Linked DNA regions of Anolis sagrei. The protein of the gene in region 1 purifies or fractionates together with the protein of each later gene. This does not show direct contact. Links are inferred from orthologs where the notes say so. Each region holds a gene or a part of one and is shown on either strand. Other genes may lie near its edges.

Region 1 (7,320 bases):
TGAGGGACAAGAAAGTCAATGCCCTCCAAAGGTTGTTAAATTCATCAGTTGAGGCAATGTTGAGGATAGATGGGAATGCAGTCCAACATCATCAAAGGGCTCTCCTATTCTGCCACTTGTAATATTATACCATTCTGTCTCTCCAACTTATGTGATTTGGCATGTTCTGTAAAAAGAAGGGGAATACCATGCTGCTTTCCTGCCATCAGCAGGTAGGAATCATTGCCCAGGTATGGTAGAATATCCTCACCACCCCCATGTAGTATTGGTTTAGTCCCTTTAGTGTTTGTTAACATGTATTTTTCATTCAGCTTTAGAAAGTTAACTCCAGGGTCATGGAATTTTGACTCTACAATCTGAATAACACACAGCATTATACAAGACATACCAGACAACTTAACCACCCAGTAATTCTGAGTACATGACAACACTACTCCTTAGAAATTTCTAGTAACATAGGCAACTCAGTATATCACACTTTTACTTCACAGGAACCTATGGGTAAGAGATATCTCTACTTATTACTGTGATTCCAGTTAGAAAACAAAATATCCACAAGATGGAGCCAGAGTTTCCAGAAAGAGAGAGGGAGGGAGGGTGGGACAAGCAGCAATAAAGGATACAGTTGTGCCCAGAAGCTGAATTACACCTCTCCTGGGCCACTGGGGCTTCTTGCTATTTATACGATAGCTGAAATGAAAACCCAGTAATCTGAACCATAATGGCTATTTTTCAAGCAAAAGCAAAATATAAAAAAAACTTAGAATATTTGGAGAAGAAAAGTACACACTAAAGGAGATGGAGAAACAGGAGTTCAAATGTCATGTACACATATACATCACATTGGGGGTAAATTGGGATGGGACACATATGGCCTTCAATTGATGGGCTGCAACTTCTATTATGTTATACTGGTTAGGGCCGATGGGAACTGAAGTTTATCATCTGGTGGACTAAACATTGCTCACTCAGTTTAATGCTTTGCATTACTGTTCTAAAAACAAAACAAAAATCCCATACATAATGGATTAGAAATATAAAGGCAAAATATGATACTGCATAGAGAACTCAAGTAGTTTCATTTTGCCCTGAAGACTTAAGTTTCACATATACACATCAAAACATCATTAAGATGATGGGACATTGTTTCTCTTTTGCTTTGAAGGGCATGGTTCTTAGAGACAAGACTTAAATGTAGCAACTTCTTGAGCTTTGTGCACCTTAGTAATATGAATCTCCACACTTGTTCCTAGGAACAACATAGAGATTTCAATGTAGAGCACGTGGATACCCTTCTATAACTTGGGTATGTGGGTTATCTTTTATAACTGTAAGATTAATCAGATCTTAAGAAATTATTTTTATGTTTCCCTTAGTTGCAGCTATCCATTTATACTATATTCATGTCCATGGAAGGATGCAACAATTGCACTGGGAATAAATCTTAAGAATGGCTGTTAAAGCCTCATATTTAAATTATTCTGTTAAAATACTTGCACAATATATTGTACAAAATTACACTGCCAGCCTTGATTGCTAAACACATTGAAGATAATGAATAAGACCTGGGGCGAGATTTTTTGTACAATTAAGAAATTAATGCTAAACTCTCAATAAAATCACTATACTGCCTCTACATTTATAACATTAATACTATCTCATTTTTTTCTCTATACAGAAACAAAGCTTCACTCCCCACAGCTTCTACTTAATTGGGCTTTTATATCAGGACCTCTTGCACTAGGATGACCATTAGACTCTTGTGAGCATGAGACATTAGCTCCAGAAACTCCCATTGCCTTCCCAGCTTCTGAATTTCCATGTCACAATTAGACTCCCTCAATTTGCTTTACATCTAAGCTAGCAGTGATGGATGTCCAAAGGAGTTAATTGAGAGTAGTGCACTCAAATTATTCCCATACCAGACTTTAAGGGTTTTCAACATCACAATAATAGTACCAAAATTATACCCTGATTATTTTTATTAGGTAAAGAAAACACCTCTCTCCTCCTTACTTTCAAATTTCAAAGCAACCTTTGAAATTGAGTGTATTCGATTTTGCTCTTCAGACAATGTTTCTCTCCCATGCCTTCAATTCCTCATATCCACACTCTTGCAGCCATCAATTTAATCATTGTGTTTATGCTTTGGCTCAAATTTTCTACTCCCCCCACCAAGACTTTCCCTCCTTCTCCTCCTGCATCTTTGCTGTTGTGTGTCTTCAGTCATTTCTGAAGTATACCAACTCTAAAGTGAACCTATCACAAACTTTTGGGGCATGACTTGTTCGGAGGAGGGGGCACCTTTGTCTTCCTCTGAGAGAGTGTGACTTACCCCAGGTCACTCAGTGGGTTTCCACAGCCAAGTGGGTATTTGAACCCTGGTCTCCCGGTCTTCACTCTATGCTCAAATCGCTGCCCCACACTGGCTCTCTTTCCCCATGATTCTTTCTCTGGGCCTAAGCTACAATACAGACCCAGAATGAGACAAAGGGGGCAAATGCACAACAGATGGCTTAATTTGAAATCCTCTTTTTCCCATTTTATCTTTGTTCGTTTGCTTTCCATTTCACTCCTTGTCCGCCTTCCCATTTTGAGAGCCACTCCCTCCATCTTCAGCAAGACACTCATGGACAGCCAACTTCAAATTACTTCCTGCCCCTAACAGGGAACAAAGCCAGGTAGGGGCCTTTGGGGGCAGACACTGGGGAAAGGAGGACAAAAAGGGAAGGAGGTAGAGACCCACCCCCAAAGGTCCCTCTACTACACTGTAGAAGGCCTTTGGCGTTCTCTGCTAAAGAGTGGTGGTGCCTCGGCAAGCTCCAAATCCTGGGATTTCATGGCATTGAGCAGTGATGGTTCCAGTGGTTTGGAACTGCCTTCATCTGTAGCAGGCATGGGCAAACTTTGGCCCTCCAGGTGTTTTGGACCTCAACTCTTACAATTCCTAAGAGCCTCAGGCCTTTTCCTTTTCTCTCTCAGCCGCTTAAGCAGAAAAGCTTAATGCCATCAATTGGGGACCCCTTCCCCCAGCACCAACTGCTGCTCTGGGCCAGAGTAAAGAGAGAGGGGGACAGTTCCATCTTGTCTCCTGCATATGTCATCAGCTGGGGACCCCTCCCCACAGCACCAACTGCCGCTCTGGGCTACAGTGAAGGGGAGGGGGGCAGAACACAGTTCCACCTTTTCTCCTGTGCTATTCTAATCATATAATATAATATATTGTGTATATACATATAATATTTATAATAATGTAATGCAATATAATAATATAATTATATATTTCTATTACATGTAATATTACTAATATTACATGTATAATATAGTAATATTTAATACTGATATTGTACTATGCTAATAATATAATATATTGTATGCATATCTTGTAAGCCGCTCTAAGTCCCCTTCGGGGTGAGGAGGAGACTCAGAGATATTTTATTTATGTCGTAAATAAATAAAATAAAGGGAAAAGGAAGGGGGGCTGAGACTGTTAGGAATTGTGGAAGTTGAAGTCCCAAAACACCTGAGGGGGGGGGGGGGAGGGGGAGTTTGCCCATGCCTGCTGGAGATGAAGGCAGTTCCCCACCATTTGAACCATCACGGCTCAATGCCATGAAATCCTAGAATTTGGAGCTTGCCGAGGCACCACCACTCTTTAGAGCAGTGGTTCTCAACCTGTGGGTCTCCAGATGTTTTGGTCTTCAACCCCCAGAAATCCTATCAGTTGGTAAACTGGCTGGGATTTCTGGGAGTTGTGGAGCAAAACACTTGGGGACCCACAGGTTGGGACCCACTGCTTTAAAAGAACGCCAAAGGCCTTGTAAAACTCCAGCTCCCAGGATCCCAGAGCATTCTGCCATGGCAGTTACAGACAAACTGCATGGATTCTGTCTTGTGGATGCGCCAAGACTAGGGAAGGGGAGCACCTGTCAGCTCCGCCTCTGCTTTGCCTCGTAGGGTGGGAAGGGGCGCCATCTTATGATGCTCTACTTGAGGCATCAAAGGCCTGTGAGCACCTTCTGGAGCCCTCCTCCTCCTCACAGAGACACGCTCGCGATTCTCCCTGTTTTCTGTGCTGTGTGCCACAGCCCTCTTCGGTTGTGAAAGCTGCCTTCCCTCTCTTCTCAGGCGCCGAGGCCTTCCCTCCATCCACCTCCATCCCCTTCAGAGAGGAAGATGTAGGCCCGTCCCTCTCCCCTTCTCCCTCCCTCCCTCCTCAGGCTGCTCTTGGCCCCGCCCCCTCCTCGCTTTGCTATTTGACGCGAGGCGTCGCCATCTTGGAGCCCCGCCCCCTACCGAACGCGGACTGCGCCTGCGCGCGCCGGGAAAGCGAGCAAGCGAGTGAGCGAGAGTGAGCCAGGCGGCCGCCGTCGCTGCTGCTGCTTCTCTCCCTCCCTCCCTCCGCCCGCCTCCTTCCTTCCTTCCTCCCCCCTCAGCCATGGCGGAGCCGCCACCGACCACCGGGACGCCGCCATCTCCAACGCCGCCATCAATAGCAACAGCAGCACCCGGCGGCGGCTCGCAGCGCCTCCTCTTCACCCATGACTTGGTCTCCGGCAAGTACAGGGGCTCGGTGCGCTTCGGCCTGGTCCGCGTCATGCACGGCGAGGACTCCGACTCTGAGGAAGACGACGGCGGGGGAGGAGGAGGAGGAGGGGGCGGAGGGGGAGGAGGACGAGGCCCAGCAACAGCAGGAGGAGGAGGAGGAGGGGGCAGCTCGGCGGGCTCGGAGTCCGGGGGCCCCGGAGGAGGAGGAGGAGGGGAAGAAGGCCGCGGGAGCCCCCTCCGCCGCGGCTACGTGCGCGTCCAGTGGTACCCCGAGGGCATCAAGCAGCACGTCAAGGAGACCAAGGTAGGCCCCTCCCGAGTGGGCAAGGAGCGGGGGAAAGGAGATGCCGAGGCAGGAGCAGCAGCAGCAGCAGGCCCTCTGTGGGCGTGGGCCTGGTGGGGGCTGCGGCAGGGGAGGAGGAAGAGGAAGGGCCGCCCTGAGGAACCTGAGGGAGGGTCGGGGGTCTTAAAGGAAAGTTGGCGAGGAAAGAGGGCGGTGGCAAGGAGGGAGAGCGAGGAGAAAGGACGGGGACATGCTCTCCCTCTGTGTGTGTGTATTCCTCACACATATATACAGATATATATATATATATATATATATATATATATATATACACACACACACACACACACATACAGATATATATATACAGATATATACACACACAGTTACGACTGTGGAATGACCTGCGGAAGAGCTCCAACAGCTAAACAAACTCAACACCCATCCCTTCTGGCAGGCCTACCCAGTCAACTTGCTATCATGTGTTTTGATTTGCACTCTATTGCCACGACTGGCGGAGGTGGGTGAGCGATGGGGTCTCCTCAGTGGTGGCCCCTCGCCTGTGGAACTCTCTACCCAGCATTCGAACAGTAGTAGAGGCAGCAATTGAGAATGAGACACAATTTATGTGAATGACAATGGACTGACCTGGACTACAATTTCAAACCTGTGTGATTTAAACAATGTTTGAGTAATTTTATGTTCTAATTGCTTTTATTGTTTATTACTGTTGTTGGCATTGAATGAATACCTGTTGACAAACTTGAATTGGAAAATGACTCTGGAACGGCCCAAGACGATGGAACTGATAAGGACTTGAATGAGAGGATATAGTTTATAGCTTTTAATATTGTTATTATGCACTGGCTTATGTCTAATTGCACTATAATGGTTCTTTTGTTTATCAATGTATGTATTTTTATGGCATCGAATTGTGCCGATTGTGTACGCCGCTCTGAGTCGCCTCCAGGCTGATATGAGCGGGATAGAAATAATGCAAAAAAAAAAAAGTTGTCAAGCCGCCCTGAGCCTCCCTCCGGGGTGAGAAGGGCAGGATACAAATATGCAAAATAAATATATGTCAATTTTGTAGCAGTGTTTGGTATAAGTTTTCAAATGTCTGTGCTTGGCAATGCAATTTAGTAATTTATTGTATTTTTATTTACTTCACTTGTATTCCGCTTTTCTCACTCGGGGGTGTGTGTGCTCAAAGCTGTTTCCAACATGTGTTGTTGAAAGCTTGCGTGGCCGGAATCACTGGGTTGCTGTGAGTTTTTCGGGCTATATGGCCATGTTCCAGAAACATTCTCTTCTGACATTTCACCCACATCTATGGCACGCATCCTCAGAGGTTGTGACCTCTCAACCTCTGAGGATGCCTGCCATAGATATGGGTGAAATGTCAGGAGAGAATGCTTCTGGAACATGGCCATACAGCCCGGAAAACTTATAGCAACCCGGTTTCCAACATATTTCTGACAAAACATAATGCCTCGCATACATATGAAACCTAACATAAAGCGAGAATAATATAACTATCAATTAGATCATACAAACCTAACAACATTTAAACATTAAAACATAGAATTAAAACATATTAATATAAATGGTAAAATCACATAATCCAGAAATAATGGTCCAAGGCCATGTATTTTTATGTTTGTTTGTTTGTTTTTTAATTAGTTGTACCCCTCCTTGAGCCATCAGGGAAGGCAGATAATGAATAAAATGTATTACTATTATTATGCACACAATCTCACACACATTGATATAGATATACATATACACACATAGGTTCTCTCTCACACACATACACATATATACACAAAAACATATATACATTTGCACATATATAGATACACATCCATCCCCTCATACGTACCCTATACACACACCCACACACATATATATACATACTCTCACACAAATAAATATTGCTAAAGATATATACTTTCTCTCTTACATACAGATATATACACACCCACACATATACTGAGTGTGCCAAAAGTCACAAAGGGGTTTCAATATTTAATAATTCCTTTGTGCTTTGTTTTTAATTTACAATGTTCACAAAAGCATATATAGAATATATAGGAAATGAAATTGAATTACATTATATATAAAATCTTTTCAAACAAAAATTTCAAAGAATTATTGAAACATTAGATGCCTTTGTGAGTTTTGGCCCACTCTTTGTATGCACATTTATATATTTACATACATGCACTCAAACATACGTATGCATACATAGATAAGCACACATGTGTACATATATATACTGTATATACACTCACGTGTATAGCTCACACATGCATATATGCATACATACATTCCTTCAAGAATGCTACTATTGATTGATATTATAAATACTGTATTATCTCAGGCCAGTGTGCTCTGAAAAAGCTGCCTTACATTGTCCACATTGCATTGTACAGGTTGTACAGTTTTCTATTTTGGAAAGAAAATCATATTTTTTTTCTCTCTCTCTC
Region 2 (7,229 bases), on another chromosome or scaffold:
CGTTGCAGTAGTCTATACGGGATGTAACCAGTGCGTGGAGTACTGTGGCCAAGTCAGACTTCCCAAGGTACGGGCGCAGCTGGCGCACAAGTTTTAATTGTGCGAATGCTCCCCTGGTCACCGCCGAAACCTGGGGTTCCAGGCTCAGCGATGAATCCAGGATCACACCCAAGCTGCGAACCTGCATCTTCAGGGGGAGTGCAACCCCGTCCAACACCGGCTGTAACCCTACCCTGTTCGGCCTTACGACTGACCAGGAGTACCTCTGTCTTGCCTGGATTCAGTTTCAATTTGTTATTATTTCATTATTGGCGATTTGTATGAAAAAACCAATTAGGAACTGCCATTTATAATGAAATTTTGAGAGTTTTGTTAGAGCTTTGAAGTTTTCACCATCAGAACTTTAGTTTTGTAAGTACTTTAGAACCATTTAGAACCATGCATTGCCCAGGCTCAGGAGTATTGTGCTCCAAAATTCTCTCTGAATTTGGAAGTCCCAGAGTAGTTTGACGTGTTCATTTTCTGTAACTTTTTCAGGCTTGTGATCTCACCAGTTCTTTGTTGCAGGCACATGGTATTTGTGGCACAAGTTCCAATGAATCATCTGAGCAATGGTGTTATGCCTCTGCTTGTCGTCTGTCTGTGTGATCTTCTTGCAGCAGCTGAGGATATGATCTATTGTTTCATCTGCTTCCTTGCAGTCTACACTTGGCATTTGTCGTAGACTTTTCAATTCTAGCTTTAATGGCATCATCATCATCATTATTGAGTGGGCAGATCAAAAGACAACCTGGCAAAATGATGCAACCTAAAAGAATCCATCTTGTGCGACTGTGGAGCAGAACAGACAACTCAGCACCTGTATGCTTGGCAGCAATGCCTTGCCTTATGCATAAAAGAATTGTTTGAGGCTACAGACAATGTGGTCACTGTTGTCCATTTTTGGTCAAAAGATATTTAGCCGGTTGTGCTCCTTCTAGTTCTATCAGTTTTATACTATTTGAGGCAATGCTTTTGATATGAAAATAAATAAAATGATAATATTAATGTGCATAAGACATGGACAAACTTCGGCCCTCCAGGTGTTTTGGACTTCAACTCCCACAGTTCCAAACAGGGCTGAAGTTTGCCCATGCCTGGTGTAGAATCAATGAAGTCTGACCCTACTTGAAGTGCCATGGCTGAGTGCTATGGACTCTTGGGAGTAGTAGTTTTGCAAGGGCTTTGGCCTCCTCTGCCAAAGGGGGCTGGTGCCTCATCAAACTACACTTCCTGGGATTCCAGAACATTGAGCCGTGGCAGTTCAAGTGGTGCCCGACTGCATTCATTCTGCAGTGGAGATACAGACGTGTGTTTAGGCTTGGGCCCCAGCACCAAGCGATCTCATGATATAAGAGGTATGGGCAAACTTGGGCCCTCTCTCCAGGTGTTTTGGACCTCAACTCACACAATTCCCAACAGCCTTATTTATTTATTTATCATATCAGAAGTGAACCAATGTGTTTGAGAAAACAAAGATTAAAAACTTGGCATTATATTAAATGTCCTTTGACAAGTAGCTGCCCACTTGGAGTGCCTCTGGTGTTGCTATAAGGTCCTCCATTGTGCATGTGGCAGGGCTCAGGTTGCATTGTAGTAGGTGGTCTGTGGTTTGCTCTTCTCCACACTCGCATGTCATGGACTCCACTTTGAAGCCTCATTTCTTAAGGTTGGCTCTACATCTCATGGTGCCAGATTGCAGTCTGTACAGCGCCTTCCAAGTCGCCCAGTCTTCTGTGTGCCCAGGAGGAGGGAGTCTCTCATTTGGTATCAGCCATGGATTGAGGTTCTGGGTTTTAGCCTGCCACTTTTGGACTCTCGCTTCCTGAGGTGTTCCTGCGAGTATCTATGTAGATCTTAGAAAACTATTTATTGATTTAAGGGCATGCTGGCTGATATCTGAACAGGGAGTGGGCCAGAGATGTCACTGCCTTGGTCCTTATATATAAAACATATAAAAGCCAAAAAAAAAATGTGGCCATGTCAAATCACATACACAAGCAAATGTTGAGCTGCTACTTCCTGGTGGATGTCAGGTGGTGCAATACCAGCTAGACAGTGTAATTTCTCCAGTGGTGTAGGGCAGAGGCAGCCTGTGATAATGCAACATGTCTCATTAATAGCCACATCTACTATAGAACCGGGCTGTGTGAGAGCCAGCTGCATTAAATCACTACTGACCAAGAGGCCATGAGTTCAAAGCCAGCCTGGTCGGAGTGAGCGTCCGGCCATTAGTCTAGCTTGCTGTTGACATCTGCAGCCCGAAAGACAGTTGCATCTGTCAAGTAGGAAATTTAGATACTGCTTTATGCGGGGAGGCTAATTTAACTAATGTACGACGCCATAAAAAAAAAAACCTTCCAGCAGCGTGCAGAAGAATGAGGAAGTATTCTATCAAAGGACTTGGTGTCACAAATGGTGAAGCAGCAGCTAACCTGTGGCCGGAATCAAGCATACCCCCATGAAACCGGAATGCTGGAATGTTAAATTGCCTCTGTGTCTGTCTATATATGTTGTATGTCTAATTGGCATTGAATGTTTGCCATGTATATGTGCACGGTAATCTGCCCTGAGTCCCCTGAGGGGTGAGAAGGGCGGAATATAAATACTGTAAATAAATAAATAATGATATAATATTAATAAAGTTTATTTATACCCCGCCACCATCTCCCCAAGGGGACTTGAGGCAGCTAACATGAGGTCAAGTCCAAGAATTACAATAAAGCAAAGTAAAATACAAACAAGAAAATAATAAACATCAATGTAAAATGCAAACAATAACAAAATATACAATAAAGCAAACAAAATAAAATGGTAGAGGAATTAAAACACAGTGGACAGGCGAAATGCAAAGGATAAAATTTATAAAAACCGGGGTGAAATGAATAAATGGAGTAAGGTGTCTGAGCGGAGACTCAGAAGGGGCAAACAATGGGGTTAATCTTCACTAAGGGACGCAAGAAAGTGCATCCACAGGACAGATCTATACTGGGACGGACATGGTGTGGGGATTTGTGTTCATTCGTCAAAGGCACACCAGAAGAGCCAGGTTTTTAGGCCTTTCTTAAAGGCTGCCAGAGTAGGAGCTTGCCTAATCCCACTGGGTAGCGACTTCCAAAGCCGAGGGGCCACCACGGAGAAGGCTCTCACCCTCGTCCTGTGCTTGTGATGGAGGTGGGAGTGAGAGGAGGGCCTACAGGTTTGTAGAAAGAAATGCAGTCATGGAGGTAGGCGGGTCCCAAACCATTGAGGGCTTTGTAGGTGATAACCTGCACCTTGAATTGGGACTGGAAAATGAACTGGCACTAAGCTCCGAGCGTTACGGAGATGCCACAAAGGCGGCTGTGAATAAGGGAAGGGGGGGGAGTGATAGCGGGGAGAGAGAAGGAAGGATAGAAAGGAGGGGATGGTTTAGGGTTAGTGTTTGGGTTAGGGTAAGGGGTTAGGTTTAGGCTTATGGTTAGGGTAAGGGTTAGGGGGTGATAGTATGATAGCTGGGTCCAGAAGCTCCGAGTGGTTTGGGTTTGGGTAAGGGGTTAGGGTTAGGGTTACGGTACAGTTCAGGGTTAGGGGGTGGTAGTATGATAGGTGGGTCCAGAAGCTCCAAGCGGTTTGAGTTTGGGTAAGGGGTTAGGTTTAGGCTTACGGTACGGTTCAGGGTGGAGTGAATGTATGATAGCTGGGTCCGGAAGCTCCGAACAGTTTGGGTAAGGGGTTAGAGTTAGGCTTACAGTATGGTTCAGGGTTAGGGTAAGAGTTAGGGGGTGAATGTATGATACCTGGGTCCGGAAGCTCCGAGCGGTTTGGGTAAGGGGTTAGGCTTAGGCTTATGGTATGGTTCAGGGTTAGGGGGTGAATGTATGATAGCTGGATCTGGAAGCTCCGAGCATTACGGAGATGCAGCAAAAGTGACTGTGAATAAGGGAAGCGAGGAGGTGGAGTGAGAGCGGGGAGAACGAAGGAAGGATAGAAAGGAGGGGATGCTTAGGGTAAGGGTTAGGACAAGGTTTAGGGTTAGGATTTCACCGTTAAACCACTCTTACATTCCTTCTATATGATCTGTCTCCGGCCTGGCTTTCATTAGCGAAGTCTCTCTTGCGCAAAGAGCGCTCCCGAAGGAGCGGCGCGGCTTCCGGGCCCAGCTCCCCTCCTATTCCCCAAAGCGGGTCCCAGGCCCTTGGGGCAAGGGGCGTTCCCGTGGCAGCGTTGCCCGGCGGGTCTCTTGAAGGCGGCAATCCTCTTAGTGGGGAGGAAATCCCACGCCTGGCTGGCGGGATTAAGGCTCCGGGCGGGGGGGAGGAGGAGGAGGAGGAGGAGCATCTGCTCCAGGCGGCCACGAGTTGCGCCTCGGAAGGGCAATCCGGCGGGCGGGCCCTCCGGCTCTCCTCCCCTGCCTACTCCTCTTGGGCGGGAAAGGGCTCGCGGTTTCTTTTCCTCCCAGGAACAGAAAGGGAGGCAGCAGCCTTTGTGTGCTTTCCTGGCTCCAGCGCCGCCTGCCCGCCCGCCGGCCGAGTTTTCCTCATTCTCTGAAGGAAGAAGAAGAAGAGGAGGAGGAGGAGGAGAAGGAAGAGCTCCTCCTCCTGCTCCTGCCTCTCCTCCTCCTCCTCCGCGGCCATTTGCCTCCGCCCCTCGTCGCCAAACGGGACTCATTCGCCAAGGAGCGGCGGCGGCGGCGGAGAAGAAGCAGGGTAAGGGGTGTCGGCTTCTTCCCTTTTGGGGGGGTTTCAAGGGGAGGAGAGGCGGGAAAAAGGGGGGGGCACACGCGCTTGCAACCCTGATCTTCCCTCTCAAAAGGTAGGCATAGGCAAGGGGGACGCCTGCTCCTGGTGGAGTCCTGCTTTGGTTTTGTTTCTAGTTTCTCCAAACTAAAATATATAGAGACACACACACAGAGACACCGTCCCATCCTTCCCAGTGGATCAATCTGGAATATTGTTGTCACCTCCCCCTCCCCCGGGATCCCTCCAGGGGGCGCCCTCCCAAGGTTTCTTCCTCCCTCCAAACAAACCCATTTGCAGTGGTCGAGGAAACAATTAGTAGTAGGTTCTTCTTTATTATTTGGACCCAAACAAAGGGTCTCCTTTTAAACTTTCCAATTCTGGGTGGTTGTTTTTTTCAATTTGCCCCATCAAATATAGACCCAAACAAAGCTCCTTTAAAGGTTTCTGATTCAGGGTTGCTGTGAGTTTTTCGGGCTGTATGGCCATGTTCCAGAAGCATTCTTTCCTGACGTTTCGCCCACATCTATGGCAGGCATTTTCAGAGGTTGTGAGGTCTGTTGGAAACTAGGCAGGTGGGGTTTATAGATCTGTTGAGTGTCCAGTGTGGGAAAAAGAACTCTAGTCTGCTTGAGGCAAGTGTGAATGTTGCACTTGGCCACCTTGATTATCAGCTTCAAAGCCTCTCTGGTTGCTGCCTGGGGATCCTTTCTTGGGGGGGGGGGGGGGGTAACTGGCCCTGATTGATTCTTGTCTGGAATTCTGCATGATAGGGTTGTTGTGAGTTTTCCAGGCTATATAGCCACGTTCCAGAAGCATTCTTTCTTGATGTTTCACCCACATCTATGGTAGGCTTCCTCAGAGGTTGTGAGGTCTGCTGGAAACTAGGGAAGTGGGGTTTATATATCTGGAATGTCCAGGGTGGGAGAAAGAATTCATGTTTGCGTGAGACAAGTGTGAATGTTGCAATTGGCCTCCGTGTTTAGTATTGAACAGCCTTCAGCTTCAAGGTCTGCTTTACAGCCTGGGGGAATCCTTTGTTGGGAGGTCTTGACTGGCCCTGATTGATTCTTGTCTGGAGTTCTGCTTTATTAGGTTGTTGTGAGTTTTCCGCGCTGTAGGGCCATGCTCCAGAAGCATTATCTCCTGACCTTTCTGCATTATTGGTTTTTAAAACTCCCTCCCCAAAATGTAGACACCCAAACAAGGATATAAACAACAACACTCTGAAAACAGACATGAAAAAAATCAGGGCCAGCTAATCACCTCCCAACAAAGGATTCCCCAGGCAGGAAGCAGCCAGACCTTGAGACTGTAAGGCTTTTTAATGCTAACCAAGGTGATTAATTGAAACATCCACACTTGTTTCTAATAGACAAGAGTTCTTTCTCCCACCCCGGACATTCCACAGATATATAAACCCCCCTTGCCTAATTTCCAATATATCTCACAACCTCAGAGGATGCCTGCCATAGATGTGGTCAAAACGTCAGGAGAGAATGCTTCTGGAACATGGCCATACAGCCCGGAAAACTCACAGCCACCCAAGGATATCGCTCTTTTAAAACTTTCTAATTGTGGATTGTTGATTTTGAATTTCCCTCTAAATATGTAGAAACAGATGAGGATATCATACTTTTTTTAGTTGTTTATAAATCGAGAATATTGTTTTGAATTTGCTATTAGCAGGTAATAATTTGGGGGAATTCAAGTTGTTTCCTCCAGGCTCCTTCCAAACTCCAGATATCACTTTCTACCTTTGTATACAGCATGTGTATACAAACATGATGGCCGAAAGCGAGGAGGAGCTGAGGAGCCTTCTAATCAAGGTGAAAGAAGAAAGCGCAAAAGCCGGGTTGCAGCTAAATGTCAAAAAAACCAAGATTATGGCAACAAGAATGATAGACAACTGGAAAATAGAGGGAGAAACCGTGGAGGCCATGACAGACTTTGTATTTCTAGGTGCAAAGATTACTGCAGATGCAGACTGTAGCCAGGAAATCAGAAGACGCTTACTTCTTGGGAGGAGAGCCATGTCCAGTCTCGATAAAATCGTAAAGAGTAGAGACATCAGACTGGCAACAAAGATCCGCCTAGTCAAAGCCATGGTATTCCCTGTAGTCACCTACGGATGTGAGAGCTGGACCTTAGGGAAGGCTGAGCGAAGGAAGATCGATGCTTTTGAGCTGTGGTGTTGGAGGAAAGTGCTGAGAGTGCCTTGGAGTGCGAGAAGATCCAACCAGTCCATCCTCCAGGAAATAAAGCCCGACTGCTCACTGGAGGGAAAGATACTAGAGACAAAGTTGAAGTACTTTGGCCACATCATGAGGAGACAGGAAAGCCTAGAGAAGACAATTATGCTGGGGAAAGTGGAAGGCAAAAGTAAGAGGGGCCGACCAAGGGCAAGATGGATGGATGGCATCCTTGAAGTGACTGGACTGACCTTGAGGGAGCTGAGGGTGGTAACGGCCG
Region 3 (7,340 bases), on another chromosome or scaffold:
TAATTGTCTTCTCTAGGCTTTGCTGTCTCCTCATGATGTGGCCAAAGTACTTCAACTTTGTCTCTAGTATCTTTCCCTCCAGTGAGCAGTCGGGCTTTATTTCCTGGAGGATGGACTGGTTGGATCTTCTCGCAGTCCAAGGCACTCTCAGAACTTTCCTCCAACACCACAGCTCAAAAGCATCGATCTTCCTTCGCTCAGCCTTCCCTCAGGTCCAGCTCTCACATCCGTAGGTGACTACAGGGAATACTATGGCTTTGACTAGGCGGATCTTTGTTGCCAGTCTGATGTCTCTACTCTTCACTATTTTATCGAGACTGGACATTGCTCTCCTCCCAAGAAGGAAGCGTCTTCTGATTTCCTGGCCACAGTCTGCATCTGCAGTAATCTTTGCACCTAGAAATACAAAGTCTGTCACGGCCTCCACGGTTTCTCCCTCTATTTTCCAGTTGTCAATCATTCTTGTAAATATTATATGTATATACAATATATGATATTATATTATTAATAAAGCAATATAATACTACAGCAATATAATACAGCAGTACAGCAGATGATGTCCAAATCTGTCACTCCTTTCCACCTGTCACCAAGGAGGCTGTCCAGACCTTGAATCGGTGCTTGGCTGCTGTGTCGGACTGGATGAGAGCTAACAAATTGAAATTGAATCCAGACAAGACAGAGGTCCTACTGGTCAGTCGAAAGGCCGAACAGGGCATAGGGTTACAGCCTGTGTTGGAAGGGGTTACACTCCCCCTAAAGGCGCAGGTTCGCAGCTTGGGTGTGATCCTGGACTCATCGCTGAGCCTGGAACCTCAGGTCTTGGCGGTGGCTGGGAGAGCTTTCGCACAATTAAAACTCATGCGCCAGATGCACCTGTACCTTGGGAAGTCTGACTTGGCCACAGTGGTCCACGCTTTGGTTACATCCCGTTTAGATTACTGCAACGCTCTCTATGTGGGGTTGCCTCTGAAGACTGCTCGGAAGCTTCAAATGGTCCAACGATCAGCAGCCAGGATGCTAACAGGAGCGGCACTCAGGGAGCATACAACTCCTCTGTTGCGCCAGCTCCACTGGCTGCCAATTTGCTACCGGGCACAATTCAAAGTGCTGGCTTTAGCCTTTAAAGCCCTAGAATCATAGAATCAAAGAGTTGGAAGAGACCTCATGGGCCATCCAGTCCAACCCCATTCTGCCAAAAAGCAGGAATATTGCATTCAAATCACCCCTGACAGATGGCCATCCAGCCTCTGTTTAAAAGCTAAACGGTTCTGGCCTGACCTATCTGTCCGAATGCATCTCCTCCTATGAACCGGTTAGGATATTAAGATCGTCTGGGGAGGCCCTGCTCTCGGTCCTGCCGGCTTCACAAGCATGCCTGGCGGGGATGAGAGACAGGGCCTTCTTGGTGGTGGCCCCTCGACTCTGGAACTCCCTTCCACTGGAGATCAGAACTGCCCCTTCAATCTTAATGTTCAGGAAACAGGTGAAGACTTGGCTTTGGGGATTGGCATTCGATGAATGAGCCATTTTCCTGTGATATGGATGGATGACGACGAATAATGACTTTTGATGACGACTGACCACTGTAATTATATGATTGTATTTGCTATTTTAATGTTTTAGTGTGATTCAGAATATGAGGTTTTAATGACGGTCTGTAACATTGATGTTGGAAACCGGCCTGAGTCCCTCGAACGGAGGTGAGAAGACCGGTATACAAAACTGCCAATTAAATAAATAAATAAATATACACAATATATTATATTATTAGTAAAGCAATATAATACTTGTAAAGAAATATAATAATAATAATACTAATAATGGGACAGAAATGTAGAAAAGGTTAGAGCAGAGCTTTGCAAAGCTTTTCTACCTTTTTTTGAGGACTACAACTCCCAGAATCCTCTCCCACAGGAGTCTGCCATGGAGATTCTGGGAGGTGCAGTGCCAAATAGAAAGCCACATAGAATCATAGAATCAAAGAGTTGGAAGAGACCTGGTGGGCCATCCAGTCCAACCCCATTCTGCCAAGAAGCAGGAATATTGCATTCAAATCACCCCTGACAGATGGCCATCCAGCCTCTGTTTAAAAGCTTCCAAAGAAGGAGCCTCCACCACACTCCGGGGCAGAGAGTTCCACTGCTGAACGGCTCTCACAGTCAGGAAGCTATTCCTCATGTTCAGATGGAATCTCCTCTCTTGTAGTTTGAAGCCATTGTTCCTTGTCCTAATGGAAGCAGAAAACAAGCTTGCTCCCTCCTCCCTGTGGCTTCCTCTCACATATTTATACATGGCTATCACGTCTCCTCTCAGCCTTCTCTTCTTCAGGCTAAATATGCCCAGCTCCTTAAGCCGCTCCTCATAGGGCTTGTTCTCCAGACCCTTGATCTGCTCCGTCCTCCTCCCTGTGGCTTCCTCTCACATATTTATACATGGCTATCCTATCTCCTCTCAGCCTTCTCTTCTTCAGGCTAAACATGCCCAGCTCCTTCAGCCGCTCCTCATAGGGCATGTTCTCCAGACCCTGGATCTGCTCCCTCCTCCTCCCTGTGGCTTCCTCTCACATATTTATCCATGGCTATCATATCCCCTCTCAGCCTTCTCTTCTTCAGGTTAAACATGCCCAGCTCCTTAAGCCGCTCCTCATAGGGCTTGTTCTCCAGACCCTGGATCTGCTCTCTCCTCCTCCCTGCGGCTTCCTCTCACATATTTATACATGGCTATCCTATCCCCTCTCAGCCTTCTCTTCTTCAGGCTAAACATGCCCAGCTCCTTAAGCCGCTCCTCATAGGGCTTGTTCTCCAGACCTTTTATCATTTTAGTCACCACCTTCTAAGGGACTGGCTTGCTTGCCCAGCTTCACCCCAAACCTTCCCTGACTCTCCCTTTCGAGTCTTTCCCTTCTTTCCCTCACCAATTCAGGAGGACCGCGATGCTCTGGCCGCTTCCCAGAGGCCGCCATTTTTGTCCCGGCTTCCTTACGTCAAATCCGCGCGACGCGCTCTGGACCAATCCCGCGGGGGCTGGCGCGCACGCGCAGGGCAATCTCGAGAGTGAGGGTGAAGTGCGCATGTGCACCTCGAAGGAGGACTCTACACCGGCGCATGCGCATCTCTCTCCCTGCACGTGAGGCGACGTCTCCTGACGTGGCGAGCGGAGGAGGGAAGATGGAGGCGGTGCCGCTGCCGCTGGCGGGCCTCTCGCTGCTCTTCGGCGGCCTCCTCGCCCTACTTTTCCTTCTCCAGCGGTGGAGAAGCGGCCCGAGCCGCGAGCAAGCCGAGACCATCGCGAAGGGGCGAGGCCAGGCCGAGCAGGAGCCCAGCGGCGCCGGAGAAGGTGAGGGGGCGGGGCCTCGGGAGTCTAGGCCACGCCCACGCTCCGCCTTCAAACCCATCTATACCGACGATCATGCCATCACCGCCAAAGCATTTTTCGATCTATTTTGCTTCATGTTTTCTAGATTTAGACAGTGAAACGTCCAGCAAAACCTCTCTGGTGAAGAAACAGAAGCAGCATCAGCGTCTTCGGAAAGAGAAACCCCAGCAGCACAGCTTTGCCCACCCCCTCCTGGCAGCCGCACTGAAGGTGAGCCCTAAGGTTCATCTAGAGGGCTGAAGTTTGCCCAGGTCTGTTGTTTTGCTTCCTCTCCCCATCGCAAGACGTCTCTGTCTGGAGAGATCGAGAATCCCATGGCTCTCTCTCTCTGGTTCTCCTTCCCTTCCTCAGGGCCACAGCGGGAGCGTCACCTGCCTCGACTTCAGCAGCAACGGGAAGTACCTGGCGTCCTGCTCCGACGACCGGACTGTGCGGATATGGAGCACCAAGGACTTCCTGGAGCGGGAGCATCGCTACATGCGGGCCAATGTGGAGCTGGACCACGCCACTTTGGTCCGCTTCTACCCAGACTCCAAGTAAGGGGGCAGCTTACTTACCCGGCAGCAACTGCTGCTCTGGCCAGAATGAAGAGAGAGGGGGCTACAGTTGAAGACAGTTCCATCTTGTCTCCTTGTTACTAATAATATAATATATTGTATTGTCGAAGGCTTTCATGGCTGGAATCACTAGGTTCTTGTGGGGTTTTTCGGGCTATAGAGCCATGTTCTAGAGGCATTTCTCCTGACGTTTCGCCTGCATCTATGGCAAGCATCCTCAGAGGTTGAGAAGGTCTGTTGGAAGTAGGAAAATGGGTTTATATATCTGTGGAATCACCAGGGTGGGGCAAAGAGCTCTTCCCTGCTGCAGTTAGGTGTGAATGTTTAGCTGATCACCTTCATTAGCATTTGAAGGCCTGCCTGAGTCTGGGAAAATCTGTTGCTGGGAGGTGTTAATCTGTGCCTGGTTGTTTCCTCTCTGTTGTTTAGCTGTTATAATTTTAGAGTTTTTTAATACTGGTAGCCAGATTTTGTTCATTTTCATGGTCTCTTCCTTTCTGTTGAAATTGTCCACATGCTTGTGGATTTCAATGGCTTCTCTGTGTAGTCTGACATGGTGGTTGTTGGTGTGGTCCAGCATTTCTGTGTTCTCAAATAATATGCTGTGTCCAGGCTGGTTCATCAGGTGCTCTGCTATGGCTGACTTCTCTGGTTGAAGGAGTCTGCAGTGCCTTTCATGTTCCTGGATTCTTGTTTGGGCGCTGCGTTTGGTGGTCCCTATGTAGACTTGTCCACAGCTGCATGGTATACGGTAGACTCCTGCAGAGGTGAGAGGATCCCTCTTGTCCTTTGCTGAACGTAGCATTTGTTGGATTTTCTTGGTGGGTTTGTAGATTGTTTGTATGTTGTGTTTCCTCATCAGCTTCCCTATGTGATCAGTGGTTCCCTTGATGTATGGCAGGAACACTTTTCCTCTGGGTGGATCTTCATCTTTACTCTCGTGGCTTGTTCTTGGTCTTGCCGCTCTCCTGATGTCTGAGGTGGAGTATCCATTGGCCTGGAGAGCCCAGTTGAGGGCTCAACAAATACAATATAATATATTGTATTTAGATATAATATTCATAATATTATAATGTAATACAACATAATACTAATAATATAATATTATAATTATATATATTTATTACATGTAATATAACTAATAATATTACAATATGATGGAGTAGTACAATTTTACTTACTTAGGCGATCCCTCGTTGTCCGACTAGGATAATCCTCCAGGGTGGGTCCATAGCTGGCTGTGGAGCCCTATCTTGATCTGCATCTTCTCTCACAGTGAGGGCATTGGTTTCCAGGTTGAAGGCGGTCTCGGTCAGGGTTGGCATGACGTGCCTTCCTCTTGGCACGTTTCTCTCTTTCGCCCTCCATTCGTGCCTCTTCAAATTCCGCAGCACTGCTAGTCACAGCTGACCTCCAACTGGAGCGCTCGAGGGCCAGGGCTTCCCAGAGTTTTTATGGTTGGCTTTGAGCCCATCTTTCAATCTCTTTTCCTGCCCGGCAACATTCTGTTTTCCGTTCTTGAGTTCGGAGTAGAGCAACTGCTTTGGGAGACGGTAGTCAGGCATCCGGACAATGTGGCCATTCCAGCGGAGCTGATGACGGAGGACCATCGCTTCAGTGCTGGTGGTCTTTGCTTCTTCCAGCACCCTGACGTTTGTCTGCCTTTCTTCCTAAGAGATTTGCAGGGTTTTTCGGAGGCAGCGCTGATGGAATCGTTGCAGGAGTTGCATGTGACATCTGTAGACAGTCCACGTCTCACAGGCATATAGCAGGGTTGGGAGGACAATAGCTTTATAAACAAGCACCTTGGTATCCCTACGGATGTCCCAGTCCTCAAACACTCTCTGCTTCATTCGGGAAAATGCTGCACTCGCAGAGCTCAGGCGGTATTGTATTTTGGTGTCGATGTTGACAATTAAGAAGGAGGTGGAGCCTTGGAGGAGTGGAGTGGGCCATTTCACAGTTTTGATGATTAAGGGTGCATCCCTACACTGGCCTGTTGCTTCTCTGACTTGCATCCCAGGCCTGTCTTTTCTTCCCACAGGGCCTTCATTGCCTGGCTGGCTAATGGAGACACCCTCCGGCTCTTCAAAATGACCAAGAAAGAGGACGGCAGCTTCACGTACATCGCCACGGCAGAGGATTTCCCGAAGCAGCACAAGGCCCCCATCATCAACATTGGAGTCGCTGACACCGGTGAGGAAACATGCTGCTTCTTGGCAGGGGGTTGGACTGGATGGCCCATGAGGTCTCTTCCAACTCTTTGATTCTAGGATTCTATCACATCCAAGGCCTTGGCAAACACTTCCTCTGCCTTGGCCCTTCTGCCTTCTCTTTCCTTTAGCCAAGTCTGTTTGTTAATGGTTAATTAACTCTGCTTAGTTACACAAATGAGAAATAGAAAGCTTAGATTAGGGGTCCTCAAACTTTTTAAACAGAGGGCCAGGTCACAGTCTTTCAAACTGTTGGAGGGCCGGATTATAATTTTTTTAAAAAACATGAATTCCTATGCACACTGCACATATCTTATTTGTAGTACAAAAAACACTTAAACAGTACAATAATTAAAATGAAGAACCATTTTAACAAATATAAACTTATTAGTATTTCAATGGGAAGTGTGGGCCTGCTTTTGGCTCATGAGATAGGGTTGTTGTTGTTGTTTTTGTGTGCTTTCAAGTCATTTCAGACTTAGGTTGACCCTGAGCAAGGGCCGGGTAAATGACCTTGGAGGGCCACATCCAGCCCCCGGGCCTTAGTTTGAGGACCCCTGGGTTAGAGGTTTGAATCCAGTGAGAGTGTGGATGAGCTCCCTCTGTCAGCTACAGCTCCCCATGTGGAGACATGAGATGGTGATACAATCAGCAAGTGAATAAAACAGGTAGCAGTTTCAAAGTTTAAAGGTTAAATATCCCTGATCCAAAATGTTTGGGACCCAAAGTGTTTGGGATTTTTTAAAATTTTGTGTGTGTGTTTGTGTGTGTATATATATCCATCCCGTTTTTCTCCCTAATGGGGCCCAAAGCGGCTCACAACGTAATACAATACAAATCAAAGCACATCTATATAAATAAAAATGTAATGTTCGTTTGTGATATTCACAGAACTCAAAAACCACTGGGGGAATTGACACCAAATTTGGACACAAGACACCTCACAACCCAATGTATGTCCTTCACTCAAAAAATTGATTTTGTCCTTTGGGAGTTGTAGTTGCTGGGATTTATAGTTCACCTACAATCGAAGAGCATTCTGAACCCAACCAATGATGGAATTGAACCAAACTTGGCACACAGAACTCCCATGACCAACAGAAAATACTAGAAGAGTTTGGAGTTGTAGTTCACCTACATCCAGAGAGCATGGTGGACTCAAACAATGATGGATCTGGACCAAACTCTACAC
Region 4 (7,457 bases), on another chromosome or scaffold:
AAGTACTTGTGCAGTCCAGGGGTGAAACCCAACAGGCTGTGTCCTGGGAGAGCATCAAAGTTATGATTCTCTACAGCTGGGATCTGCAGTGCTTCAGAAACCCCACAGGCTGTAGTGTTGCCTGGCTTAAGAAATAAGTTTTAAGGTTGTCACATCCGGTCAGTAACAAACTGAAAATGTGAATCCATAAATGTGAAGTGGCAGAATTACAAAATCTGATTTACAATTTGCAAATGTTAGACAGAATACGAGCCCTCATATTAATTTATAAGGAATAATACAATTAGCCAAGTAAAATGTCAAGCACATATTACATCTGCTTACGAATTTTTTTTCCACTAAATAGACAATGGAATCCTGTATGACCACTACGTCGTGCCACAACTACAGTGCAGGTTACTTTCGACCCCCTATTCTACATTTTACATGTAAGGTAATATGTGTTAATTTAAGGAACAACACTCCGCCCCTCCCTCTTAATGGCCAAAGACTCTTCTCTCTCCTGCATGGGAGAGAAAGGTTCAGCTGAGCTTTCTCCCTGATGCGCTTTATGGCTTGAGCCAGCTCATCGTACAAATTGGCCCTGACCCAAGCAGCTATATAGGTTGGTTGAGGTCATCAAGCAGCCTCACTTCAGTGAAAACTGAATTGCTTAGTTTGAGCCACATCAAGTTGAGGTCACAGTTCATGTGCACATATGGCCGGCCTAATACTTGCTGGTTCAGCTGCCAGCATAAATTGATGGTGCATCAAATTGTATTGTTCAAGTGTGGCTGTGCTTTGTGACTGCTGCTGCCTTGAGCTCTTTCCCTAAACTCACTTCTATGGGAGCCCCTTCCTCGGGATCTTTTCCCATGGCCTACATAAGGTGCTACCACTGGTTTCCATCGCTTCAGTCATCAGTGCCTTTGTGGCATCATCACCTATATCATATCCATTCCTGCTCACATCACAGAGCTATTTGCATCTCTAGGAGACAATCTACAACACCTTTAAGTGCCATAGCTTACCATATTTACCTTGTGAGCCACACAGGTGAACAACTACCTGCACAACATCTTTGTATCGTTCCCACTTATGGTGAGCATTTCACTTGTAAGTACATAGCGGTCTAAGGCTTATACGTGCCAATATCTAACTTGCAATGAGTCATTTATATAATTATCTATATATTAAAGTCAAAGTGTGCATTTTTGTTGATATGTACAACAAAGGCAGTTGCTAGGTGAAGCAGCCCTGTGTGAAGTCACTGGAAAAGAAAGGTGACGTGTATGAGGGGGAGGGAAGAAGGAAGGAAAGAGCCACAAAGAGCACCTTGTACCATGGAAACATTGCGAGTTAGGTCCTCTCAGAGCTGGAGAAGAGGGAAAGGAGAGGAGAAGGAAGGGAGGGGGGAAGGAAGGAAAGGGTAAGCAGGAAGGAAGGAAAGGGGATGGAAGAAGAAAGAAACAGAAAGGATGGAAGAAAAGGGTAAAAGGTATGAGGGGAAAGAAAGGAAAGAAAGAAAAAGGATGAAAGCAGGGGACAGTGGCTCCTCCAACACTCAGGCAACACCAGTCTATGAATATTTTACAATTTACTTTTTGAAATGCATTGCTTTCATTACTTTAGGTAGGTATGACTTTGCTCTGTAGTAGTGTCTATAATGGCCTTGCTAAGGTTGCATACATAGGATACCCTGCCACAGAGTTCTGTGAATTCTGTACATGTGTTATTTGGATCAGCCAAAAAAGATGCTCAGTATTCATGTCCTCAAGAGGAGGAGGAAAAGTGATACAGAAGACACTTACCGTTGTGGTCCAGAGTTTGGAAAATCACTTCTTAAAATTAATTATTCCCAAAGCAAAGACTTTTAAGTTCAGAATTGTTAAATTTAGTTCATCACTTCCAAACTCTGGCTTGGAATAGTTAGAAGATAAAGAAGAGCTGTCTGGATCAGATTAAGAGCCCGTCTAGTCTAGCATTCTTGTAGCATATCTTACTACAGGAAAATAACTGGAGGCATCCTCACTGAATTTCTGCAGTAACCTCCCAAGGAAACCCAGAGGTACCTGCAGATACTTGTTGCCCTGCTAATTCTCCTGTTCTAAAAATACAATACAGAAATTGCCATATTAAGGTTGGCTGCACTGCGTACACGGTGGGCTTTTGGAGGCACTGCCGTATGTATATATTTCTGAATGCAGAATTCCACTCATTTAACATTTAAATGACAACTCATCACAACTTGATAAGCCGCATCGAGTCCTTCGGGAGATGCTAGCGGGGTACAAATAAAGTTAATAATAATAATAATAATAATAATAATAACTTCCTATGGAATCCAGGGATTTGCAGTATAGGGAAGGACACTTAGAAATCTCAGCCAGACAGTTCATGTAGGTGCCTCACCAAATTACAAATCTTATGACAAATGCCAGTTAAAGTAGGATCACGGTGGTATAACAGTGTGGTGCTACAATCCTTCTACCTGCTTAAGGGTTGGTGTCTGATGAGGGAGGGAAGCTCTTCTGTGTCCTATCAGTGAGATCAATACATTTCATGAGGACCTGGGACAATACCTTTTCAGGCATGCCACTCCCATTCTAGAATGCTCTGTCCAGGCTGCCACTATTAGTCTCATTTATGTACCAATGAAAAACATGGGCTATTTATTAGAGCTTTGAGCCTTCACTACATGAAATAATTGCAAGATAAAATAAAATAAAATGGGATTTTATGTCAGACTTGCGCCATCACTAGACCATTGTTAAAGCCCACTTCCTAGTCCCTACTTCTGCTTTCCTCTTTGCTGTTACATATGTATAAAAGGACACACCTTTCTTTTTTTGTCTCCTCGTTGCTGTTGCTTATTTCACAGGTTTGTGGGGAAAGGGTTGAGAGAGCCCAGTATAAGAATAGTAGCAACTACTGACATGCTGGCATTCCCATATTGGTCCAGAGGAGAGTGTGGAACACTCTTCTGTTGAATCCCCACTCCCCACTCAGCCATGTAAACCCACTCAGCTTCATAAGAAGCCAATTATAGTTCACTTTAGGATTATCATAAGGTGGACATGACTCAAAGGTCCCAAACAACAAGGTAACACTAACATTCTCAAATAGGTTTTTTTATGTTTTATATATTAAACTCCAAGATATCATTATTTATTTGTTTAAATGTTTCCATTCCTACTCTTCGTGACCTCATGGACCAGCCCATGCCAGAGCTCCCTGTTGGCGGTCACCACCCCCAGCTCCTTCAAGGTCAATCCAGTCACTTCAAGGATGCCATCCATCCATCTTGCCCTTGGTCGGCCCCCCTTCCCTTTTCCTTCCATTTTCCCCAGCATCATTGTCTTCTCTAAGCTTTCCTTTCTTTTCATGATGTGGCCAAACTCCTTCATCTTTGCATCTGCTATCCTTCCCTCCAATGAGCAGCCGGGCTTTATTTCCTGAAGTATGGACTGGTGGGATCTTCTCGCAGTCCAAGGCACTTTCAGAACTTTCCTCCAACACCACAGTTCAAAAGCATCTCTCTTCCTTTGCTCAGCCTTCCCTAAGGTCCAGCTCTCACATCCGTAGGTTACTACAGGGGGAATACCATTGCTGCTCAGGCCCGTAGCCAGGATTTTTTGGGGGGGTGGGGGGTGGGGACTGAGTTTGTTTTTTTGGGGGGGGGGGCTGAGTCTGAGTGAAAGAGGGTCTACCCTAGCAAACGTTTTGTATCGTTACCCCAATACCCCCATGCATATGAGATATATTGAGTATGGTGATCAGATCATGACATGAATAAACATAACAGTTTAAATAATGTACCAGGAAGGCCTTCTCGCGGACCACCATCAGAATTTCAACCTCCCCCCCCCCCCCCCCGGCTACATGCCTGCCATTGCTTTAACTATGTGGATCTTCGTTGCCAGTGTGATGTCTCATTATCTATATGAAAATATTCCAAAACCTGAAACACTTCTGCTCCCCCAAGTATTTCGGGTAAAAGGAGACAGAGTGTGCCTACACTGTAGAATGAATGCAGTTTGACACTACTTGAACTCCCACGGCTCAATTCTATGGAATCCTGGGAGTTGTAGTTTTTCAAGGACTCTAGTCTTCTCTGCCTCACCAAACTACAAATCCCACAATCCCGTAGCACTGAGCCGTGGCTGTCAAAGTGCTGTCACAGTCGAATCCGTGCAACTAGATGCAGACGCGCCCCCCGCCGGAGCCTCTCCCGCTCCCCTTCCCCCCTGCATCGCCCGAGTCTTTGGCGCTTGGCCCCATCCCGCGCATGCGCAGCGACCGGGCTTCCCCCTCCTTCCCTCCCTCCTGACGCAGCGATTGGCTAATCCCTTTACTGCCGGAAAGTCAACATGTCCCGCGTGTGGAGCAGCGGCCGCGGCTCACCTCGGGCCAATCGGGGCGGCTCTTACTAGGCGGGGCGCGGCTGCCTCGGCCAATGGGAGGCGGTCTTGTTGAGGGCGGCGCAGCCCCGAGCGAGCCTGTGAGAGGGATCAGCCTGGGCGCTGGTGCTGCTGCTGCTGGTGGTGGTGCTGCGGCCGTGAGGAGACGCCGAGGCCGGGCCAGGTGAGGACGGGCGGCAGTGGGCCGGGCGCCTCGGGGAGAGGGCTCTGCCGGGCGGGGCGGCGAGGCGAGGGAGGCGGCGGCGGCGGGTCTCGTTGCTCTCGGCCGCGGCCCGGTTGACCAGGAGGGGGAACCAGTGGGCGGGCGGGGCAGTCCCAGCGCGGGCACCATTTTAAGGAGCGGCCACGGCTCCCGGAGGGCCCTTCTAGGCCTGAGCCCTGAGGGCAGGCCCGGCCCGGCCCTCCTCGCTCCCTTCAACTTTCCTGGGCGTTTCCCCTCGGCTCAGGCCTCGTTGCCTTCCGCCCCGAGCCCTCTCCCCGCCTTCCTTCCTTCCTTCTCCTCCGCCATGTGGCCGGGGCCTTCTTCTCCGTCCGGCCTGGGGCAGGCCCCGCCGCTTGAGAACGGGCCGCGAAGGCAAGGTGGGGACTGGAAAGGGGCGCCCTTAAGCGGCTCGGAAGCACAGCCCGTGGAATCATGGAGTCACAGAGCTAGCTGGAGCAGCGCACAATCCAAGCCCTCCCGGCAGATGGCCACCCAGCCTCTGCTTGAAAATCTCCACAGAAGGAGACTCCACCACACTCCGGGGAGGCAACATGTTCCACTGCCGAACAGTTCTCGCCTTCAGAAGTTCTTCCTGATGTTCAGGTGGAATCGCTTTTCCTGCGGTTTGAATCCATGGATCCGTGTCCTCGTCTCCAGAGCAGCAGAAAGCAAGGCTTGCCACATAAAAGGCAGTGGTTCCCAGCCCTTTTTTGACCAGGGACCACTCTCCAACATTAATATCAAGAGGGTTACAAATAAGTTTTTTTTATCAACTTTAGATTTGGTTTGGTTATTTGGGGTGGTGATTCCGAAAATTGCATTGGATAGATCATATCAGTTCTAGTTTCTGATACAGAACATATGCCATCCAGTAGTTGCCAACTGCTTGCCTACAGAAAACCATATTTAGTAATCTAGAGCCAGTGTGGTAGTAGTAATCTTTTATGGGAAGTCAGCCGCTCCCCTCCCGACATCCCTGTTGCCTCAACACTATAAGATGGTTTCATGAGACCCGTTGCTCTCATTGCCGTGTGGTTTTGATGCAAAGGTGTAGTAATAGTGAGGCTGCGGACCATATTTTCATTTTTGGGGATCACTGGCGATCTATAGATCACAGGTTGGGAACCACTGATATAAGGGTAACTGGTGCCCTCTCTTGTTACCAACATGCATGTTCTTAATAGGAGTGCTTCATCTGGGACCTTTTTTCACACACAAGGTTCTGCTATACAATTAGAGTTGGAATACACCACAAAGGCTATCCAGTCCAACTCCAGTCTGACAATCAAAGCTCTCATGACAGATGGCCATCCAACCTCTGCTTGCAAACGCCCAGAGAAGGAGGCTCTGCCCCAGTGAATTCCACTATCAACCAACTCTTACCATGAAAAAGTTCATCCTCATGTTTAGGTGAAATCTCTCTTCCTACAAGTGTCAAAGCTTTGCCGTAACGCACCTTTACCAACCCTGATTTTATTTGTGTTAGCACTTGTCCTGGGAGTTATTTTTTCCACCCTGGTGTCTTACACTCTGCTTGCTTTCTTGAGTGTATGTGCCTTCGGTTTGCCTGTCAATTTATAGCTACCCCATGGATTTAATAGGGTTTTCTCAGACAAGGAATTCCCAGTTCCTTTCTCTGAAATATAGACTATCACCTGGTATTCATTGGTAGTGGCCCATTCAAGTGCTAAACAAGGCTGATCCTGCATAGTTTCCAAGGTCAGACAAGATCTGGTGCCTTTAGGTTAGTGGTTCCCAATCTTTGTCTTCCAAGTCTTTTGAACTTCAGCTTCCTCAATTCCTAAAGCTCGTAAGCTTACTCAAATTTCTAGGAGTTCTGGAGGACCAAAGATTGGGAACCACTGTATTAGGAAATGTAGGCTGACTGAGTATTTGGAGAACACCCCTTCCCACTCATTCCATGGACTAGAACAACAATATGTGTCTTCACATTGCCTGTTGACTTATGATGATGCCACAAATTTTATATAGTTTTTAGTTAAGAAATACTCTGGGTCTTTGCCAGTTCCTTCCTTTAATATAGGGCCTATAGCACCTGTTATTCATTGGTCACCCATTCAAGTACCAACCAGGGTTGATCCTTCTTAACTTCTGATATTAGACAGAATCCGGTGCTTTTAGGGTATTTTTCACCCTTCCCTGTAAATGTCTATGCCTCTGTGATTTCCAGTTCTGTAATAGAAGTTAAATTTTCTCTTGCACTTTGGCTTTGCTATGTGTAGCCTTTGCAGGAGGTAACATCTTACAGGTACAGATATATAGTTGATTTATACTCTGTTGGAGTTGGGGAAAGTATGTTAGATAAAAGATGTAGAAATACCTTAAGCTTAGTCGGACTTTATCAAGTTTAATCATTTCCTAAACAAGTAGATTCAACCAGCTGTTTCAACCGATGTGAACCTTGTTTTTGAAGCACTGTTGTGGTGTTGATCAGAAGCTTGGATCAGTCTTATTCACTTTATTATTTACTTAGGACTATATTGTTAGGACTGAAATTCTCCCATAGAAGGTTATCTAAAGAAAAGAAAAAAATCTTTCAAAATGGAGCATGTTACCATCTTACCTTAGAATGATATGAGTTTGAAGAGACCCCAGGACCATCCAGTACATCCCCATTTGCCATGCAGGAAGCACTCATAACAGATGGCCATACTGCCTCTGCTTTAAAATCTCCAGAAAAGGAGACTCCACTATGCTGCAAGGAAGTAATCTTAATATGATCACTTTTTTCTGTTCCTGAGTAAACAGGTTCTATTTCCTGCTAATAAATAAAATGCTTCCCCTTTCCTGTAGTATGGTTTCTTTTGCAGCAATTCTCCCTGTGCTCAGCACCT

Evidence for each region.
Region 2: the proteins of UBE2O (region 1) and EPB41L5 purify together in Homo sapiens (affinity purification with mass spectrometry; 3 studies listed by BioGRID and IntAct, counting the BioPlex papers as one, with this or other methods). This does not show direct contact. The link is inferred for Anolis sagrei from reciprocal best matches to the Homo sapiens genes UBE2O and EPB41L5.
Region 3: the proteins of UBE2O (region 1) and BUD23 purify together in Homo sapiens (affinity purification with mass spectrometry; 5 studies listed by BioGRID and IntAct, counting the BioPlex papers as one, with this or other methods). This does not show direct contact. The link is inferred for Anolis sagrei from reciprocal best matches to the Homo sapiens genes UBE2O and BUD23.
Region 4: the proteins of UBE2O (region 1) and NAP1L4 purify together in Homo sapiens (affinity purification with mass spectrometry; 3 studies listed by BioGRID, with this or other methods). This does not show direct contact. The link is inferred for Anolis sagrei from reciprocal best matches to the Homo sapiens genes UBE2O and NAP1L4.

The regions. Positions count from the first base shown.
Region 1 is NC_090022.1:119,358,633-119,365,952, reverse strand, and holds the start of UBE2O ((E3-independent) E2 ubiquitin-conjugating enzyme), read left to right. Parts: upstream 1-4,312; 5' UTR 4,313-4,438; coding exon 4,439-4,852; intron 4,853-7,320. UniProt on the Homo sapiens protein: E2/E3 hybrid ubiquitin-protein ligase that displays both E2 and E3 ligase activities and mediates monoubiquitination of target proteins. Negatively regulates TRAF6-mediated NF-kappa-B activation independently of its E2 activity.
Region 2 is NC_090021.1:223,336,287-223,343,515, reverse strand, and holds the start of EPB41L5 (band 4.1-like protein 5), read left to right. Parts: upstream 1-4,208; 5' UTR 4,209-4,727; intron 4,728-7,229. UniProt on the Homo sapiens protein: Plays a role in the formation and organization of tight junctions during the establishment of polarity in epithelial cells.
Region 3 is NC_090031.1:33,213,248-33,220,587, reverse strand, and holds the start of BUD23 (18S rRNA (guanine-N(7))-methyltransferase), read right to left. Parts: upstream 3,019-7,340; 5' UTR 2,966-3,018; coding exon 2,918-2,965; intron 1-2,917. Other genes in the region: TBL2 (transducin beta-like protein 2), read left to right, coding at 3,108-3,339, 3,464-3,588, 3,730-3,914, 5,980-6,131.
Region 4 is NC_090021.1:246,256,337-246,263,793, reverse strand, and holds the start of NAP1L4 (nucleosome assembly protein 1-like 4), read left to right. Parts: upstream 1-4,443; 5' UTR 4,444-4,563; intron 4,564-7,457. UniProt on the Homo sapiens protein: Acts as a histone chaperone in nucleosome assembly.